Arabidopsis thaliana: one gene and its partners. The protein of the gene in region 3 interacts with the protein of the main gene of each other region in a pairwise test. Each region holds a gene or a part of one and is shown on either strand. Other genes may lie near its edges. The genes, in order: ROP10, RUS3, AT1G74370 and AT4G37445.

Evidence for each region.
Region 1: the proteins of AT1G74370 (region 3) and ROP10 interact in a protein complementation assay, tested with the Arabidopsis thaliana proteins (one large-scale study listed by BioGRID).
Region 2: the proteins of AT1G74370 (region 3) and RUS3 interact in a protein complementation assay, tested with the Arabidopsis thaliana proteins (one large-scale study listed by BioGRID).
Region 4: the proteins of AT1G74370 (region 3) and AT4G37445 interact in a protein complementation assay, tested with the Arabidopsis thaliana proteins (one large-scale study listed by BioGRID).

The regions. Positions count from the first base shown.
Region 1 is NC_003074.8:17,728,891-17,734,233, reverse strand, and holds ROP10 (RHO-related protein from plants 10), read right to left. Parts: upstream 2,898-5,343; 5' UTR 2,674-2,897; coding exon 2,569-2,673; intron 2,244-2,568; coding exon 2,156-2,243; intron 1,958-2,155; coding exon 1,848-1,957; intron 1,755-1,847; coding exon 1,691-1,754; intron 1,596-1,690; coding exon 1,531-1,595; intron 1,430-1,530; coding exon 1,364-1,429; coding exon of another isoform or gene 1,322-1,363; exon of another isoform or gene 1,263-1,321; coding exon 1,159-1,262; intron 1,018-1,158; coding exon 993-1,017; 3' UTR 721-992; downstream 1-720. UniProt on the Arabidopsis thaliana protein: Acts as a negative regulator of abscisic acid (ABA) responses.
Region 2 is NC_003070.9:4,719,467-4,725,381, reverse strand, and holds RUS3 (root UVB sensitive protein (Protein of unknown function, DUF647)), read right to left. Parts: upstream 3,809-5,915; 5' UTR 3,666-3,808; coding exon 3,544-3,665; exon of another isoform or gene 3,435-3,543; coding exon 3,377-3,434; intron 3,297-3,376; coding exon 3,237-3,296; intron 3,161-3,236; coding exon 3,122-3,160; intron 3,032-3,121; coding exon 2,969-3,031; intron 2,869-2,968; coding exon 2,812-2,868; intron 2,700-2,811; coding exon 2,636-2,699; intron 2,541-2,635; coding exon 2,457-2,540; intron 2,365-2,456; coding exon 2,282-2,364; intron 2,192-2,281; coding exon 2,062-2,191; intron 1,987-2,061; coding exon 1,894-1,986; intron 1,772-1,893; coding exon 1,633-1,771; intron 1,562-1,632; coding exon 1,518-1,561; coding exon of another isoform or gene 1,417-1,517; coding exon 1,229-1,416; intron 1,136-1,228; coding exon 1,037-1,135; 3' UTR 867-1,036; downstream 1-866. Other genes in the region: AT1G13780 (F-box/RNI-like/FBD-like domains-containing protein), read right to left, coding at 1-609, 690-701; AT1G13760 (uncharacterized protein), read left to right, coding at 4,281-4,419, 4,959-5,017.
Region 3 is NC_003070.9:27,956,617-27,961,103, reverse strand, and holds AT1G74370 (RING/U-box superfamily protein), read left to right. Parts: upstream 1-1,703; 5' UTR 1,704-1,917; intron 1,918-2,073; 5' UTR 2,074-2,118; coding exon 2,119-2,904; 3' UTR 2,905-3,018; downstream 3,019-4,487. Other genes in the region: AT1G74385 (uncharacterized protein), read left to right, coding at 134-379; XXT5 (xyloglucan xylosyltransferase 5), read right to left, coding at 1-1,256; AT1G74360 (Leucine-rich repeat protein kinase family protein), read right to left, coding at 3,193-4,487.
Region 4 is NC_003075.7:17,603,196-17,607,344, reverse strand, and holds AT4G37445 (calcium ion-binding protein), read left to right. Parts: upstream 1-2,400; 5' UTR 2,401-2,426; coding exon 2,427-2,457; intron 2,458-2,547; exon of another isoform or gene 2,548-2,566; coding exon 2,567-2,681; intron 2,682-2,774; coding exon 2,775-2,835; intron 2,836-2,922; coding exon 2,923-3,201; 3' UTR 3,202-3,251; downstream 3,252-4,149. Other genes in the region: AGP18 (arabinogalactan protein 18), read left to right, coding at 404-1,153, 1,333-1,419; AT4G37440 (uncharacterized protein), read right to left, coding at 3,499-3,681, 3,755-4,149.

The DNA of each region.
Region 1 (5,343 bases), on a different chromosome or scaffold from region 3:
TAAGCCCTCGAAATCCACAAACCTTAGTGTTTTATGACCTCTCTTTTTGTTTTTCTCTCTCTTACTAATGTTTCAGTTACATTTTTACTCTGCTAGTTACTAAGAGATGAGAGTGAATGTGATGCCACAAGGCTTCATTGGCTGGCCTGCTCTGTACAAATGAGGCATGGGTGAGTCAATTTGCGACTTCACAGTGGTCTCAACCTTTTTAAGAACACAAACCTGACCTCTTGGTTTCACCATCATGTAGATCTTCCAAAAACAGTCCTAAATTCACCGGAGTGGCCATTCTCTTTCAGAAGAGTCATCAACAAGGTTCTCAGCGAGAGACCCGCATCACCACCTCCCCACAAAGAGTTTTAAAAGGTGAAAACACACTTTTAGGTCATTTTTCATGCATGTGTGTATCTCTATACACCGGCTCAAAAAACTAGCGATAAAACAAATGTTGGTGGCTTTTGAGTGTGTTCAAAATGATAAAAAAAAAAGTCTTTCGCATTGTGGCTTTACATGTGTGCGTTAGGTGATGGGGGTTGTATTATAGACACAAGATTAGTTACTTCTTTTTATCTTTCTTTTTCCAGTTTGTAGATTTATTACTTCTTGTGCTGGTTCTGTTTGAAATTTACAGGCTTCTTCTTACTTGTCACGCTTTTGTCGTTTGGTCTTGGATCTCATAATAGGACCAAATAAATTCGAATATGTGATTAAGGATTCACCTTTTTTCGAAAGAAGCAAGTGTTAACCACGTTAAGTCGTGAACTACTCCAAGTTTTGGCTACAAAATGGCTATAACAATTCTATAAGGGTCAAACCAAATCGAAACAAACAAACATCAGGGTCACATATACAAACAGAATCGAAGAAGCTACTAATTGAGGCTCATCTCTGCCAGAGTCTATGTAATTCCGACTTATCAGAATCACAAACTGGCCAATTAGAAAAGAAAAGAAAAAAAAAGAAGTGAACAATCATCAGATGGAATTGACTCATCAATTCTTCCCACACAGAATGTTTCTGCACAATAGAGAAGCCAATCTATAATCATTACACAAACAAACAAAACTGTATGAAGAAGCTAAAGGTTGCATAACCAAATTCTAGTATTACATAATTTCTTAGTTATATATTAAAAAGAGTGAAGATTATTGAACTTACGAGAGACATCCGCTGCGAGGCTTCTGCTTCTTCTTCTTCTCCTTTTGTTTCACTGCTGGTTTAATTACTACTTTAATAGCAGCATCAAATACGGCTTTCACATTCTGCAAAAGCCATGAACCAAAGAAAAGCATATAGTTTGCAAGTAAAGAGTCACCTAACACTAATGACTCCTAAGTTTCCAAACACACATGAACAAGTGTACCTGTTGAGTTTTTGAGCTACATTCAATGTAATAAGTCGCTCCGATATGCTTGCGGAGTTCCTCTCCCTGTAACACATGAATGATTAAATCATATAAAACCTAGAGAAGAGAGAGTCTAGAGAATGTCACAACAATCTTTTCGGTTTCTACAGGTTGAAAAAGCACACCTGTGATGTAGTTACCGGGGACAGTCCAGGATGATCAGACAAGTAATGTCTATCTTCACGAAGATCTAGATAACGGAACATTGTAAGAAACATTACATATATGTGATTCTCAAGCATTACACAAGGAAATATGTTGGCTCCACTCTTATAGCTATCTTACCCATTTTGGTACCAACAAGCACAATGGGGACTCCTGGTGCAAAGTGTTGGAGTTCAGGGATCCACTGAACAAAATAAACGCTTCAAAAACATCAGAAATTCACATTTCATTCTTTGTTTTCCCAGTAAGAAATACAATGAATCCAATTTCCACAAACCTTTTTAAACACATTCTCATAGCTAGCTCGGCTGATCAATGAGAAAGCCAACACAAAAACATCTGCTCCTCTGTAACTTAAAGGCCTTAGTCTGTTATAGTCTTCTTGCCCTGCAAACATGAAAGGGTACTCATAATCATAAAACTCTTAACAGTCACTAATCTTCAACACTCCCTATAAAGTTCTCTATCTAAGAATCCCAAATCAAAAGCAAACTTGCTAGATGTTAGAAAGATTAGAACCACATAACATTAGTGAACTTGGTTATTCTGAGATATTCAAGAGAGGGATACAGAAATGTTACTTACCGGCAGTGTCCCAAAGGCCTAAGTTCACAGTGATGCCTTCAACCACAACATTAACACTAAAGTTGTCAAAAACTGTTGGTATGTAGTCCTGATACAATCCATCAAGCAAATCTTTAACTTCACGAGAACAACAAATGCGCAATAGAGTAAGAGGAAACACTGGTGAATCAAGAAAGCCACTAACTTTACAATGTAAGATTTTTCAGAATCTCCAAAAAAGGATTATTTTTGCACAATCCCTAAAAAAGGAGCTAACTTTGAAATACCATGCTAAAATTCTCGGTGAAAGAGTTGAAATTTGACAGACCCAGAAGTATATTCAACTAAAAGTGACGAAATTGGAGATGCCCGAAAGAACAATTTGATGAAAAATCAGCGAAACTGTGATTTACTTGATCAAATTTTAAACTTACAGTAGGGAATTTGTTGCTAGTGTAGCAGATGAGCATACAAGTTTTTCCAACGGCACCATCTCCAACAGTCACACATTTGATGAATTTTGAAGCACTCGAAGCCATTCTAACTCACCAAAAGCAAACAACTTTCAACGAAGAAACGCCCAAAAACCAGAGAGATTGTGAGAGAGATAATAGAGAGATAAATGAAGTGATTAACATGAGGAAGTGTGGTAATAAACTATATAAACCCCATATGATTAAAAAAACTAAACTCTCTTTTTTTTCACTTTTCTTTCAATATTTTCAAAGTTTCAATTTTGTATTTTTGTCTCTTTCGTTTTTTGGTTTGAAGACTGAAGAGAGGGAAAGAAGAGGGGCTCACATGATATATCCATCTAATCCACATGACTTTTCTAAATCGTTTCATATTTATCGCTTTTACAAATGTATTAGATTTTAACCCGTGGTATACCGCGAGACGATTAATTTTTTAAAGGTAATATATATTAAAACTTGCAAATTTTATTTTTATAAAATATTTATATTTTACGGTTTATAATTGTTATTAAGTAACGCTATGCCACGAATCTATAAGACAATTGTTAAAAAACTGAAGTTTTAACCCTTATTAAAACAGCATATTAATAATATTTTATAATTTTATAAATATTGATTCAAATACATCCACCATATAACCGAATTCCAAAATAAAACTCGTTCTGTAATTTCTTTACCCGTCCCGTGAGTTTTTTTTTAAGTCGTAATTTTTAAAATTTAAGAATTATTTATTATATATAAAAGTTTTGCAAATTGTATCATTCTCTAATACATTTATATTTTATAGTTTAATTTTATATATAGTAACATTATACATATCACATAACATTTTTGGTTTTATATAATATTTTCTAAATTAGGATAATTTGATATGTTTAATATTAGTGGTCTTAAAAAATAATAAATTAAAGATTTTACCCGTATTGAAACGGTGGATTAATTATATTTTACTTTTTTATTAATGTTGATTCAAAAACCCGTCCTTCTAAATCCGTCTTGCCAAAAAGCCATTTATTTTATTCATATTAATTTTATTTATGATATGACTCTGAATTCTAAACATTTTAGCTAATAACATAGGAGTGCACCATATTTATTTAATAGGGGAATGTACCATATGACCCGAATGCACTTTTATCCAAATCCACCAAAAAAATCTTGCAAAAATACTATAGAGATAAGAAACGATAGTCGGTTTTAATAGGTATAAGATTAGCAAATATATTAGTTAGCTTAAATTAGTTAAAGAATACAAATTAAAAAGGTATATTACACTTTATTCGAATATAATATCAAAACTTATATAACACAGAGATTTGATAAATTTTTAATTGTTGAATACTTTTTTTTTGTACAAATTTTTATGTGATTAAGATTTATTGATTTCGTATATAAAATATTAAATTGTTTTACGAACTTATTTGTTTATAATTTGGTAACAGAAAGATATTTGAATATTCGGTATATTTTGCTTTAGTTTAGAAAATCTTTGATGACCCGTCTTTAGATTCAACAAGCCCTATAATTAAGAAATGAATATTGTCGTTAAATGATTTTGGTAACCTTAATGATGTCATTAAAAGATTTTGTTTTTGATTAAATTTTTCTAATGGTATTGTCATGTAATTAATTACAAAAATTAAGGTTACATTTAAAATGTATTTCCCAAATAATATAGTAGGATTAAAAGGATACTAAAAGCTAATCACATGCTTAAGAAGCATTGATTATAGTACGTTATTTCTTTTTCTTTATCGGTTGATCCTTCTTATTTTGTTTAGCATTAAAAACTGTTATATTTTGCCATCATTTTTTTTGTAAGATTCTGGCATTACTCATTACCAATTAATTGTATAGATTATTTCAATAAAACAAATTTTACCTGGTTCTAGCTAGGAGAAATGAACATAACTTGGTTAAACACATATGTAGTTATAGAAGAGAGAAAGATATATATATATATAGGAATTAGGATTAACTCTGAATTGGGGACTTTTAAGTTTTGGAAAATAGCAACCAAACTTTTCCTTCTTTTTTTCTGTAACATCTGCTATCAAACTTATTCATCAATCTTAGTAAAGTATAATTTTGTTATTTCAAAACAAAAGTATCCAAGCTAAATTGGGTTTTCATATCTGATTTGTGGGTTTGATAAAATTGGTTACACACTATCGTGCTGCCAAAAAAAACAATAGACCCAAAAGGCCCATGTCTTTGGCCTTGTATGGCTGTATCATCAGAGACAAGGCAAATGATCCATCAAATTGAGATAATAAACTAGTGCATATATAGTAATCTACGTGATGATTTGTTAATAGACAAGACGAGTTTGTTATTTGTTAATTAATGATAGATAGCAGATTTTAATGGAATACTCTTTATGAAGATCACATGAAAATAAGCTAATAACCGAAATTGTAATATCTTTCAATGAAAAAACAGGTGCGAATGTGCGATCATTCCTAATCATCTTATTTGCATGATGTTACTTTAATTTATGGTAAGTTGATCACACACATTTCAATGCATTTGTGATGAACTTAATAATTAACCAACCGAAAGCAAGAAGCTATATATATATCGCTTCTCTTGCCTATTTAGATCTCCAAGCCTCCACTTTCTTACACTTTCAACTTCCATTAAAAGCAATCAAAGCAAAAAAAAATGAAGATTCTTGTCTTGATTTTGTTTTCACTTAGCACCCTTCAAAATGTTTGTGGATTCGATTATAAC
Region 2 (5,915 bases), about 23 Mb from region 3:
TTTATCATCATGAAGATAAATCAGTTCTTCAAGAACAGGACAACCTGAAACAAGCTTCTCCAGATTCATAGTACCACTACTATCCCATCGAACTTCTCGAAGATGCATGAATTTGAGACAAGGCAAATAGACAAACCCTGGATCCTCAAGACCCGAATACGAAAGCTTCAAAGAAACCAATGTCTTACACGAATAAAGATTCAGAGGCATGAACTCGATACAAGGATAGTCAATGCAATCATCAGCATCTCGATAATAGGTATTGCTCTCAACATCTAAAACTCGAATCCCGCGGCTAATCGCGTCACCAATCCGATCCGAGAACTTAATGATCTTATCTCTACTGTAATCTACCTTGAATTTTTGAAGACGTGACTCATTGTTAAACTGGAGAAATCTGTCAATGAAATCAATCAACAGTTTTTCGTTGTTGTTCTGAAAGGGGAAATCACGGCAGTTCAAATCAAGTCCGGGAACATTAAGCCATAGATTCTTCCATCTAGTCGATAAAACACTCGTCTTCACAGAAGCTTTAGTCGGAAGGTGTAACAGTATTTGACTAATCAAAGATTCCGGCAATTCGCTAATTCTATCAAACCCAGGCATGACCTAATAGCATTAACAAACAATAAATTAATCGAATTCCAAAAACTAGGGTACAAGTGTCTGACTATAAACGAAATACTCACCGTGGATTCCATTCGCCGGCGGAATTATTGGCCGGAGTTGTGGAATTAGCTTCAGCTACGAGCTAAACGATGAACATGAAGTGATAATGAAAGAGAATCACAAAATTGAAGTATTTATACGTTCGAAGCGGTTCCGATTCCAATTTTTGCGTTTCCAAAAAAATAAAACGGTTGCCATTATTATAATTCTTTAATTTTCCATTAATAACAAACGTTATACAATGTTAAACCGACATTTTACGGTTAAACCGGTATCGGTTACATGTTTTACATGACTTAGAACTAACATATTTTTGTATGTTTGCAACGAGTTAACAAACTATTTTGATCTTGAAAGGCGATAAAGCTCAGTCGAACTTAGCAGCGGAAGTGTGAGATATCCAATTAGCTCTCCAAGTAATGGAAGGCGAAAGAAGACGCTCTGTTTTCCAACCTCCTGATCTCAGCTACATGGGAAACAACAGAAAGAAAAAGAGTGAAAACAGTAGCTTTAGTGTCATAAAAACACGGTTTAACTGGTCCTAGTGATTTAATCTTACCTTGTGGAGCAATTCGTCATAGTGTTTATCAATCCAAGCTTCTCCTTCTGAATAAAAAGATGTGCTCTTTTCCATAAGGTTTGCCAAAACAATGGCATGAATATATGATTTCAACACATCTGCAGGTTTTGAATCTTTGTGCAAGATCACACTAACATTTCCCTTTATGTGAGCCAATAAATACTTAGCTGCAGGAGTGTACAACAACAGACAAGAACCGAGCTTACGTCAAGTATGGACAGAGAAACTAATGTCCTTGAAAGATTGTGGAAAAATAAATCAATCAAACCATTCTTGTATGAAGAAGCTCCAACACCATTTAGCAGCTGCAACCTGCACACAAATATGTCAAGCTTGAGCCGATTCTTTACCCGAAAATTATGATAATCTAGTATAGAGCTTACATATCTAGACGAGGGAGAGAGGAAACTCTCACACCTAACTGCACTCTCTTATGCAATGGCTTTGAATTCGTTGACCTCAATGAAGTGGCCCACAAGGGCAATACACCCTCCATTGAAGAAACCTGTTCGGGAGAGAGAACTGGCAACACGTTTAGTTAAAGAAAGTTATTGGTATATGGTGCAATAATAAAGAGAAACCAATAAAAAACAAAGGAAAGCCACTGAAAACTTGAAAGAATCAATGGCGCATTTCGAAATTACCTTGGCCAGTTTGAATGAAATGTGTTAGAAGAATTGAACTCCTCTCAAAGTTTAATGAATTCAATACAAGACACCGGACAGCTCTATAGTTTGCTAAATATATAAGAAAGGCAAACAGTGAGAGAAATTCTGATTTGATCTATGCTTTAACCTTCATTTGTGACTTACCATACATATGAAACACGGTGAGAGAGAGAAACGAAAGCCAAATAGCCATAGGGTTTCCAGAGGTAAACCGAGCTAGCAACATTCCCAATGACATACCCATCATAGTTGCCATAGTCTCTTGGCTTCCTTCCTTTCAATAGATAAAATAGAAGCAAAGAATTACTCAAAGTTCACATTTATAGTTTCTATATCATTCACAGTGACAAGAAGTAAAGAGTACCTTAGCAGATATATCCGCTGCATTGTCTTGAAGAGCAAAGTGCTGTGTTAGAGCTGCTCTGGTTGCTCCACTTGCAACACCAGCTAATAGCCAAGATTGAAAAAAGTTAAAAACCGATGTATCAATCCAAACCGAAGTCTTAACTTCAATGTTTGATGCAAGAAATGATACGCACTAAATGATCTTGATAGGCTCCCTAAGCAAACCACAACGATAAAGGCAGATGGAAACAAAGGAGAAAGAAGGTCCATTAGCATTCCTGCAATAAAAGCAACAAAGCTTGTAGTCATTCAACTGAGAACCAAATACAGGCAATTAGTATCAAGTGTGATGTGACAACTAACTTTTACATACCAATATCATTCATAAGGTCAGCAACTAGGCGCCACATTTTTGCATTGCTATCCAGGTTGGAACCCTGAAGAACAGAACAGTTCCCATTAAATAAGAACGTAACCAATCTAAATCTTAAAGAAAAGGGAAGAGAATCGATGTGTATTATGATTGGGAAGAATCTGCTACATAGGCACCTGATAAAATGTGAACAATATACCTCCAAGCATCCCAGTAAAATCCCTCAGAAACCACTGCATAATACACAAGATAGAATCACTATTCTCCATTGCGCTTTATAGTTCTTGAGAGAACTAGTGTGAAATGTTATATGTAAGCAATGGAAAAACTCACCTGAAATGTAGCACCTATAACAGTTGCGGATTTCTCACCAACGCCAATTGCACTCAAAAGAGCCTGAAAATAGTCCAAATCAGAAATGCTGCAGCAGACAAATTGGACCAAAATAGAGAACTCAGAAGCTCAAAAACTTTAGCTTTAGCTCACCTGAGTGGAAAGCATCATCTTTGTATAAGTTGAGAGGCCCTGCAACAAACATAGCCGAGAGTCACAATTCAAATTTCACAGTAGCTATAAGGCATACAAGCATATTCTCACATACCTGTAATGTGTCCCATAACTGAAACCCTACATAATCTGGAGTTACACTGCCAGGAAAGCCCTGCACTAGACAAAGTACAATTCAGCCAAACCCTAATCCGGAGGACAGATTCTAAAGGGAAAAAGAGAGAAAACACTTGCCTCTGGTACAAATGCTTGAAGAACTCGTCTCCACACATGATTAAAGCGATTAGCAGACCTATGAATCACTCACAGGAGACGAAAACCCAAGAAAGTTTCTCAATTTTGTTGTGAATCCACTGAAACTATCAGATTTGGATTGATTTCAAAGAGGAATAAAGAAGAACCTTTGGATAGAGAGAGAAGAGGAGGCAGTGATGGTTGCTGTTTTGAATAGCTTAGTGGAAGAAGAACCATTCCATTCTTCAAGAGTAATCGATCCGCAATCAGAGACTTGTTCTTCTCTCATGGCGAATTTTGGCTTCTTACGAGTGAAAAGAATCACTTATTCAAATGTTTAGACTTTATGAGTGTTTTGGACTTTGTGTTGGGTTTCAATTGCAATTGAATAGTCCAATGACCCAAATGTGATTGGACTTTGGGTTAGTAAAAGGTACGTTTTTGGCAAACGCAGGTCACATGTCCACATCATAGTCTTCTTTTGGCTCCCAATTGGATTTCTAGATTTAGAAACACTTAAACCAACAAGTCACGGAAGTGTGTGAAAGGAATGTTAATGCTAATGATCACCATATCTTTATATGCTTTGTGCCTATGTTTCTAGGTTTTGATCATCAGTCACCAACTTTATAAATGTTGTTTCCTACAAGTTATCTCTAGAACACAGTTGTATCACATTCATCTTCATCTTCAGACATTTGTTTTCATGATCTTCTTGTGAGAAATGGGAAACTTGTTGATGTTTTGGTGACTCTTGTGTCAATTCAAGAGGGAAAATCTCATCGAAAGCAACCTTTGTCAGGAGTTGCAATTCATAGGACACTGTTTGATGTGAATGAAGAAGCTTATGTCAAAGCTTCTCCAACAGTTCTCGGATTTGATGTAAAGCTTTGTGTTATTTTATATGATAAAAGCTTTACATTGCACCTTTTTCTTTGTTTCTACAGTGCTTCGATTTGTCTTACAAGAGTTAAATATGTCGATCCACCTCTACTGTGTTCTACGCCTATCAAGGTCTTTTCCTCATCAAGGTTTACTACGAGGTTTTGTGCTTCTCTTCTCTGCAATGAGTCTTAAATTTCTTTACAAATTCTTTAAAGTTTGATGTGTTACTAGTTTCTCTTCTTGTCAGGGTCTTTTAAAAGTATATGCAAACATCATTGTATTATATTAGAATATATATATATATATATATAGTATTCAGATTCATTATTTCAACTGATTAGATCTATGGAACAAATTGAGAGAGAAGAAGACAAGATTCTGAATTTGAACAGCAGCTAAAAAGCAAGAACAAATTTGACTTTTTAATTCCCTCTCAGAAAAGAAATGACGAACCCAAAAGTTCTTTCTAACTTAAGAAAAACTTGAGCAAAACTTAAGCAAAACTTAAGAAAAATTTAAGAAAAAAACATTCCATTTTCTTATCAAATTAGTTCTAATATTATCGTAGCTAGTGCTCAAATATCACCTAGGTTCATAACAGAGAAAACACATGGTACATATTTGGATTTTGGCCACAACTATTTGAGAAAAACTGTATGTATGTATTCGGGATCACGCCATCCAACCATCCTTGCAGGAGCCATTAAACGGGACTATTCATGTTGTTGCGGGAGGTGGAGGAGCCAGTCTAGATGATTTCTCTTGCATGCAGTCCAGCTGGAGCCTGCTCGGCGACAAGGACTTTGGGTTCGTCACCTTAATTGTCGTCGATCACTCTACCATTCAGTTCGAGTACAGGAGAAGCAGCGACGCAGTCATCCACGACTCTTTCGAGATAGCGAGGGAGTACAAAGAGATACTGGCGACTTTCACTTTGTAGGATAGGGAGAAATTAAAATAAAACGGCTATCTATTTTTATTTTGGACGGTTAATTGGAATAAAAATATCTGGTTTATTTAATATTGTCTTTATAAGTAAGTATTCGTGTAATAAACGATTGGTCGATTCTTAGTTTTTACTTGCGAATCTGAAGAATCTGATGATCGATGACGAAGATGATTCACTAAAGCCTCTTCTTCAATTGGAAGGTTCTGGTTCAGTAAAATTTTCCGGTTAAATTACTCAATAAGACGGTTCAGTGGTTAAGTGGGTCGATGTCTATTACTTAAAATGGATCAAGGTTTTAGAGGTTTTAAATAATGGATCAAATTAATTTCGTTTCTGAATCTGTGTAATCTTTTGTTGTTTTCAAAATGTTTTAAAGTTATAAAGAGGGCACCGTGCCTGTAGCAACATGTAATGATAGATCTCGATTTTGTTCCTATTCAATAGTATTTTGGTCACTAAATTATGTTTTTTTTTTAAGCATAAAATCATCTTTGATTTTTCTTTGATCCAATACTTATTTAGACATAAGCATTTGGACTAATGATTTTAGAAAATTTGCGTGGGTCAATCATCATCTAATATAAAGCATAGTCCACTAAATCTGATAAGAAATATATAGATAGACATTTAAATCGAAAAAAATCCTTTATTTCCAATTTTGCAACTCTTATTTGGTAAACATATCTAGTATTAATTAAAACTTTA
Region 3 (4,487 bases):
TGGCTAAAACCATACAGCTTGAGCACTTGATTGTCTGCAAAATTAAAGGCCCTCTCCATACTCTTCAAGCACCTCTCGACTGCATAATCAGCATAGCTACCACACGGTTTACACCCAACGAAATGGGTCACAAATGGCCATCTCTCATCACCCAATCCCGGGTGATACTTCTCTATCATCTCCTCATACCTATCAACCAAACCTTCCCAAAACCCGTGCAAATAGTATTGATTCTCCACAAACACTTTCTCCATCCATGTATCTTTCTGAGAAAGCAGGAGATAGATCAATGCTGACTGATCATCTGCCTCAAAAGCTGGTCTACCTTTCAGATAAGCCGTCAATACCTTCCCGGCCTCATCACGAATTGGCCCTTTAGGTCCCATAGGCGCCCAAGCATCTAACAAATCCAACGACCACTGACAATTCCTCAGCAGAAAACTACCTGTGTTCAAAGCAATCCACGACTTCTGATCGAACAACAAGTCCGGATAACCATGAATCACTAGATTATGCTTCTGATACCTAGCCAAAGGGATCTGAAACAGTATATCAGTGAACAAAGCATCACTATCCATCCACCAGATCCACTCAACTTCTGGATGAGACAACATCAACCTCCTAATCATTGGTAATTTTGCCCAATAGCCAGCGAGTTCCTTATCCAAATGAGCCATGTTATACACAATCTCAATTCCATGAAGCCTACAATAATCAATCTTGTTCTTCACAGATTTCAAAAGATAATGATCACCAATGGGGTTATCACAAGGCTTAGGAGGAGATCCTGTTAAAAGCAAGATTCGAGCTTTGCCATTGACAGTACTAGGAAACTCAGGATTCTGATTCAACCATACCTTACGTTGACTATCCCAATCCGTGATCTTAGGACCTAGAACATACGTCGCATTGGGATTCATATCACCTTCCTGAGGCTCATCCAAGTCGGTTGGATCCGAATCAGATCGGATCTCAGCTAGAATCCGGTTAGTCTCCTCAATGATGTTCTGGTTAACTGCATCGGCGCTTGAGCTTCCTAGGTTACCAACACCGATAGTGCCACGTAAGACGAGAATTGTGACGAAACCACAGAGAATTGTGATCTTGATGTTGTTAAACGTCTTCTGCATCTGTCTACCTCGAGGTAACAAACCACCACGACCACCTCTTCCTCCACCGTTGGTTAACGTCGTCGTCGGAAGTCCTCCGCCGCTTCCGGATGGTCTTTTATGCGCCGGCGAACCATCTTGACCCATTTTCTTCTTCAACGTCTCTCTCTATAGATTTCACTTACAGGTTTGCGACCATCAACTTTGTTTTCCTCAGATCAGTCTGAGTATGTTTCTGTCTCTCCGTACTTACTTATTCACGGATCTGAGAAAAAGTTCAGATCTTTAGCATGATTCCGATCGGGGAAAGAGAAAGAGAAAGATTTGTCGATCTGAAGAACCCTAATTTAAAAATGGAATTAAACCCAATAATGCGGAAACATTGTCATTACTTAAAAATATATTGTCGGAGGAAAATGCTTCGTTCGATCCAGAAAGCGCACAAGGAGAAGAAGAAACGCGTACAGCTCACTCTCACCGACAACTACTATTTTACTTTAACCGATTTCGGTAATAGAAAATTACGGAACTAAACCGGTAGTTTAATTTTGGCGGTATAGTGAAACGATGCGTTTTGGTAGTTAAACCTGAAAACAGAAACGGATAAGGTGAGGAAATCGGTGGGGGCGGCGGAAACATTGAAAGGCGTTTCAGAGTCACCATGTTTTACGACGCGTGTCTCTTTTTCAGCCGGTTTTCTTCTCGCTGGTTACATCAGAGCTTCGGAGATATTATATAACTCAACGACGTAGCTGTTGCATTTTTTGTTTTTGCAATGATCTTCATCTTCATGACCGGATAAACTCTTGTAAGTGTATTTCGTTTTCTGTAATTCTGTTAATGATTTCTTGGGTTTCATCAAGTTCGTTACTTTTTGTATGTTCTCGGTCCAATCTTTGGGGGTTGGATTGTAAATCTCATATCTGATTATGTAGTGTATGTGTGTGTGATTTTCTTGTTGCAGAGAGAAAGATTCAAAGTGATTATCTTTGTGGATCCCTCCATTGCTATGTGGAATTTAGCTTCAAAATCGATCAGAGAAGGTTTTATATCGAAGGGAGAAGAAGCTGCTACAAAACCAAGAAGAGCTACTTTAGATAGATCAGGAGATGGAAGAAAGACAACAAAGGAAGAAAAATTGGAGTGTCCCATTTGCTGGGAATCATTCAACGTTGTTGAGAATGTACCTTATGTCTTATGGTGTGGTCATACAATCTGCAAGTACTGTCTCTTAGGGCTTCAACGTGCCATTGTCATCAAATCCTCTGCTTTACCATTCCAGCTTCCCTTCTTCGTTGCTTGCCCTTGGTGCAATATTCTCTCTTTAAGGCTGGTTTGCAATGGAACCATCAGATTTCCTTCCAAGAACTTTTACCTTCTGTGGATGGTAGAAAGCATGAATGGCTCCAGATCGGAGGCACCCAGCGACAACAAAAGGGTTGCTTCAGGGCAGAGAGACTTGAGAAATAGGTGTGATGGAGTGAGTAATACCGCCTTGGGTGATGAAGGGTTGCTGGACAATCGCAGCTGGTGGAATGGTGTGACCAGAGGATTCTTCAGAACTGGGAGGCTCCATGACTCGGTACGTAAGTCAATGGCTCTTGTTGCTCATTTGTTGGCTAAGTTTCCTCTGGTAGTCATATTCCTGTTGATGGCTTTATATGCAATCCCTGTGAGTGCTGCAGTTCTCGGGGTTTATTTCTTTGTTACGTTTGCTTTGGCTGTCCCGTCGTTTCTCGTCCTTTATTTTGCCTTCCCGAGCTTAAACTGGCTGATCAGAGAGATTGCAACCTGACTCATTGTACTGTTTCTTTCTTCCTGTATGTTTCCTGACTTGTAAGAAACACGAGATAGAGCCAACGTTGTTTACACTCAATATAGACAAGAAGAAGAGAAGATCTTTATTTTCAGATTGTGTCTCTGTACATTGCGAACAAAACTACCTTTCTCTATCCCTATCTGTCTGATAACAATGAGGTTCTGTGTACAAGAAGAATCAGAAACAATGAAACGAAAAATGGTGAAGAAGAAAACTCTGTTGTTCTGTATAATAAATCTGAAAGAAGAAAAGAAAGAAAGATTTTTACATTTCTATGTAACCTTGTGAAGATAAGCCATTGAAGAGCTCTGCTTTACCGGATATCTTAACCAACATAGCTAGAACTTCTTTCATGTTTGGTCTTGCCTGAGGATGATCAGCTGTACACTTCACACCAATCTTTAGTAGCTCAGTCATTTGCTCAGCTCCGTTCCCTGGTTTGGTCCCTGACAGGGTTATTGGTGAACCTTTGGCTGTCATGTTACCTGTCATTACACGTCTTGCCCATTCGACCAAACACTCTTCTCCTCCATCAACAGCTCTTCTACCCGTCGCGAGTTCCATGGTCAATACTCCGTAGCTGTAAACATCTCCTCTTGTGGTGGCTTGCCAAGTTTGTCCATACTCGGGAGCTACATACCCGATTGTGCCTGCAATCACTGTGCTCACATGGCTATCTCCTACATTTAAGAGTCTTGCTAGTCCAAAATCCGTCACTCTCGCATTCCCGTGTTTATCCAAAAGAACGTTACTGGCTTTGACGTCTCTGTGAACGATGGAAGGGTAGCATTCGTGGTGTAAAAACACTAATCCCCTTGCTACATCTGTGGCTATATCAATACGTTTCTTCCATTGAAGTTTTGTTTTGTCTGTGATGAGCTCCTCTAAGCTCCCGCCTCCCATGTATTCGTGCACCAAGATTTTCTCTGACCCATCTAGGCACCATCCATATAGCCTCACGAGGTTCGGATGTGCCCAATCTCCAAATGCGTTGGCACTTAGAACTTCCATTTCAGCTCTGAACTCTTTCTCTGCTTCTGTGCCTTCCCTCTGAAGCTTCTTGACTGCAACTTCTCTTCCATCAGGCAATACGCCTCTGTAAACAGTTCCATAGCCTCCCCTACCTACCACTCTCTCCTCAGAGAAGTTACTGGTTGCTTTCAGAATGTCAGCGTATGTGAAAGTTGATTTGTCTAAGCGAATGACCTTGATTTTTCCTGATAGCCATGGCGATGATCCACCTGAACTGGAAGTCATGTCATGTCTGGTTTTCGACCCATCTAAGAGATCGATTTCTGCTTCCCTTGAAGCCTTAACAACCATAAGTACAATACCTGATACCACTAAACATGCAATAAACGCCAATGCAAGAGCCAAGGAAATCCAAATCAAAAGAAGAGTTCTTGGCCTGTTTCCTAGGACTTGGTTGGAAATCTTCCTCGTGTTGTTCCCTGATTGGTTGAAGAAACTAGGAAACCGCAGCAGCGGATTTCCAAGAAAGGAGTCTTTGTCAAAGGTTGCTACTTGTCCTGTTGTTGGTATCGCGCCAGAAATGAAAG
Region 4 (4,149 bases), on a different chromosome or scaffold from region 3:
TTTCCCGACAATTTAGTAGTTGGAAATTTCTCGACCGTGTGATATAATCTATAATATAAAATATCATAATTATTAAACAATGATAAAATTTGTGAGCGACATTGGTATCAATTTCAAATCCAATTATTATGTTGACACAAGACTAGTGATTTATAGTATAACCAATTTAATGTCTAACGTAAAAACAATTACTATTAATTGATTTTCTATATCTGATCATATGTTCAACAAAACACATGCTAATCTACCCACCATTGGCGAATAAATTTATTGCAGAATATAACAGGAGAAAAATGCCAAGAAAAAAAAATCCTTATAAAAACGCACAAGAAAAAAGTAAAAGAGCTATTCTGTAAAATAAAAATGAAAAAAGTATTGAATCCTACATTAATAGATACAGGATATGATGTTCTGTTTCTCAACGGCTACATCTGTCTGTGATCCTTTTTTAATCCAACGATCCAGATCTCTCCTCATCGCCTATATAAAACTCACTTCTCTTACATCAAACAAACAACACGCTTGGTTAAACTCCATCAGTACTTTAACCATCACTTCAAAGTTCAAACTCTTTTTTTTTTTTTTGTTTGATCCAAATTTTAACAAAATTATGGATCGCAATTTCCTCCTAACAGTTACATTGATCTGCATTGTCGTCGCCGGTGTCGGTGGCCAATCTCCTATCTCTTCTCCGACCAAATCTCCCACCACTCCTTCTGCTCCAACTACTTCCCCTACTAAATCCCCCGCCGTTACTTCTCCCACTACGGCTCCGGCGAAAACTCCAACTGCTTCGGCTTCTTCACCGGTTGAGTCACCAAAATCTCCGGCTCCTGTTAGCGAGTCGTCTCCACCACCGACACCTGTTCCAGAGAGCTCTCCTCCGGTTCCTGCACCAATGGTTTCTTCTCCAGTGAGCTCTCCACCGGTTCCAGCACCAGTAGCTGATTCTCCTCCAGCTCCGGTAGCCGCTCCGGTTGCTGATGTACCGGCTCCTGCTCCAAGCAAGCATAAGAAGACTACAAAGAAATCGAAAAAGCATCAAGCTGCACCTGCTCCGGCTCCGGAACTTCTCGGTCCACCTGCACCACCGACTGAATCTCCCGGACCTAACTCCGACGCTTTTTCTCCCGGTCCTTCCGCCGACGATCAGGTACATTAGCTTATATCAACAATGTTGATATTTATCTACCGTCACAAGTTCGAGTATCAATGTTAAAAATAACCAATGAGACATTTCAAAACAGTGAACATAGATTTTCAATTTTTGTTATATTGATTTAGTAATTACATATTCGATTAACTAAAATGAAAATATGGAATTGAATGCAGAGCGGAGCAGCGAGCACAAGGGTGTTGAGGAATGTAGCGGTGGGAGCGGTTGCAACCGCATGGGCCGTTCTCGTTATGGCATTCTAAATTATTTATCATTTCACCTCTGATATTTTTTAGTTTTTATATTTTTGACCCTACCATTGTCTCTTTCTTTACGAATTTGGTAATGAGTATTATTTAATTGATTATACAGTTTGTTTTCTTTTATTTTATTTATATGGAAATAATAAGAATTCATATCTGTCAGTGATGAAAATACTGTTTTACACATTGATTGTTCTTTTCTTTTGCAGACAAAAGTCCTTTAGTGATGGGTCCGAGTTCTTTATTGAAAATGACACATTCAATTTTAATGCAGAATTATGGACATTTACTCTAAAATAAAATGTTTGTGTAAGTAACGTCTATGTAACAATAAGCAAAGCAGTTACATAATTTGTTTTAGTCTTTTAAATGTTTAAAGTGTTAGTAAATCAAATGTTGATATTTACGTTTGAAACCAATTACATGTGTTTCTTTAAACAAATATTTACAATTGGAGTATAATTATGCGAGAATGAAAGTGTCAGCTACTTAGTTGGATCTTAGTCTTTTATAATGTGAAGTTGGTAAATATTTATTGAATTCATATCTGATACCCAACTCAAGTGGCCAAGTTGCTATAAATGAATTGTCTAAAATTTATTACTAAACATGTATAGATCCAACCAATCATATAATACAATGCTTTTTATTGTACCTTTCAAATAGCTAGATTCATATTTTTGTCTTGTTCCTTAGAGAACTAGATTTGAAAAAGAAAAAAATTAATGGATATCTAATATGGTAGGCAAAAAGAAAGTGAGAATAGAGGACAAGTCATATTCCCCATGCTTTTATTAAAAGTACATTACTCAACTGTGAAGAAATGGCTAAGATTTTGTAAGTAAAGCACAAGTTATACTTGAACCAAGGTCTTGTGTAGAGATTCAAGATTCTTGGCTTTGCAAAGACACAAACCCACCAAGCCAAGTCTCTGATTCCACACACCAATACAAATTTGTATATAAACATAACATTTTCTTCTTCCTAAAGACTAACTTCTAGACAATATGGGTAGTTCAATGGGCTTTCTCGGAAAAGGTTTTGCAATTTTTTAACCTAACAATTATCGACTCAAATCGTTATATAACCGTTTTGACAAATTTTCGTCCTATATATCTTTCTAAATAGATTTCGATATTTGGCCTAGGGGTACCACCGACGCAGATGATGAATATGGTAATGGGTTCACTCTACAAACAATTTACCCAAAAAGCTATCAACAACTTCGACGATTTCCACGTTGCTGTTTTAGACATCTTTAAGTAAGGATTGTTTCATTATTTGATCATTCGAAAACAATGGTTATGTTGGCCAACATTTTTTTTTTTAAAAGGAATTTTATCTATTGAGTGCAGCAACTTCAACTCGGCTTTACCAGGCAGGCACTTCGATTTCCCAACCCCGGACCAAATAAAGGTGAGTCCTCTCCTCTATCAAAATCACACAAAGAATCTTATAATAATTTCTCTATATTTTTAACACAATGTTGAATGATCTAAACAGGTTTGTTTCGCGCGGTGGAAGGAAGCGAAAGACGAAGAAGAGAAGAAAAAATTGTTCATTGAGTTCATGTCAAAGAGCGTGAAGCCAAGTAAACTCGATGATGTCACTATGATCACCGGAATAGTATCTCCACCGGCGGCAATGGCGGCTAAGAGAGCAGGAGAGAATGTTCCTCAGTTAAAATTAATCAAACTTATACCTGATGTTATATTCGTCCCTACGGTCACCATTTTAGCCATTGTCTCTGCCAAACTCTCTAGACGAATGTATTTGAAATAGTGTTTTAACTAAGCTTTCTTTCTTTTCCAAACAAAAAAAACTTAGCACCGACAAGATATAAAACATGATTGATTGATAATACAAAATAGAGAAAAATATATACACTCTAAATTATAGAAGTAAAGTTCAAAAGTTGATGTAGTTTGAATATATTGTTGACATGAAGAATCAAAACACAGCCACTATAAATATTTCTTTGTACTTTAAAGGCTTAAGAGTTAAGAATATCTTAGAATGAACAATTTTTACTTTTTAACACAAGATCCGATTAGTTACTTGAAAGTTTCCAAACCTTCTTCAGGATCTTCTTCGTAACCCGGCAGAGCCTGACCTTCGTTTTCCTCGCTTTCTCTTCCTGTTGGAAAACCTAGAAGCCATCACAGCATTAGACTTTGGCTTCTCTCTTGAAACCCGACGCCTCTTTGGGTTACTCTCTTCCTTCGTAATGATTTCACGATTGCGCGGTGTTCTTTTCCTTACCTGCGTTGTGTTAGAATGGCATATGAGACCAAAAGGGTTTAGCAAAGTTACACTGAGTTAGCGGAAAACTTACAGGTCTTGATGGACCTTCCTCAATTGAAGCTTGTTCTGTCTTCACTAGATTCTTATCGGGAATAATAGATTTCCCTTCCCTTCGCTTTGATGCTAGAATCTCAGACAGTAAAATATCTGTTGTCTCGTCGTCTTCAGGTGAGACGTGATGAGATGAAACTGAAGCAGATTTCACCGGTTTTTCTTCAGAGATGATCGATTTCTCATCTTCGTTTTTGATAGCCAGCAGGGGCTTTTGTTGTTCTGAGCTGGTGTATACATCAGCAGCTCCAAGTGGATTCACTGTGTTAGCCAGAGGGAATATACTTGGATTTTCACTCAAAACCTTGTCTACGCGGATCTTCAAGTTACGGGCTTCTGACTTTGCTGCTTCAATTTTCAAAAGTATCTGTTCCA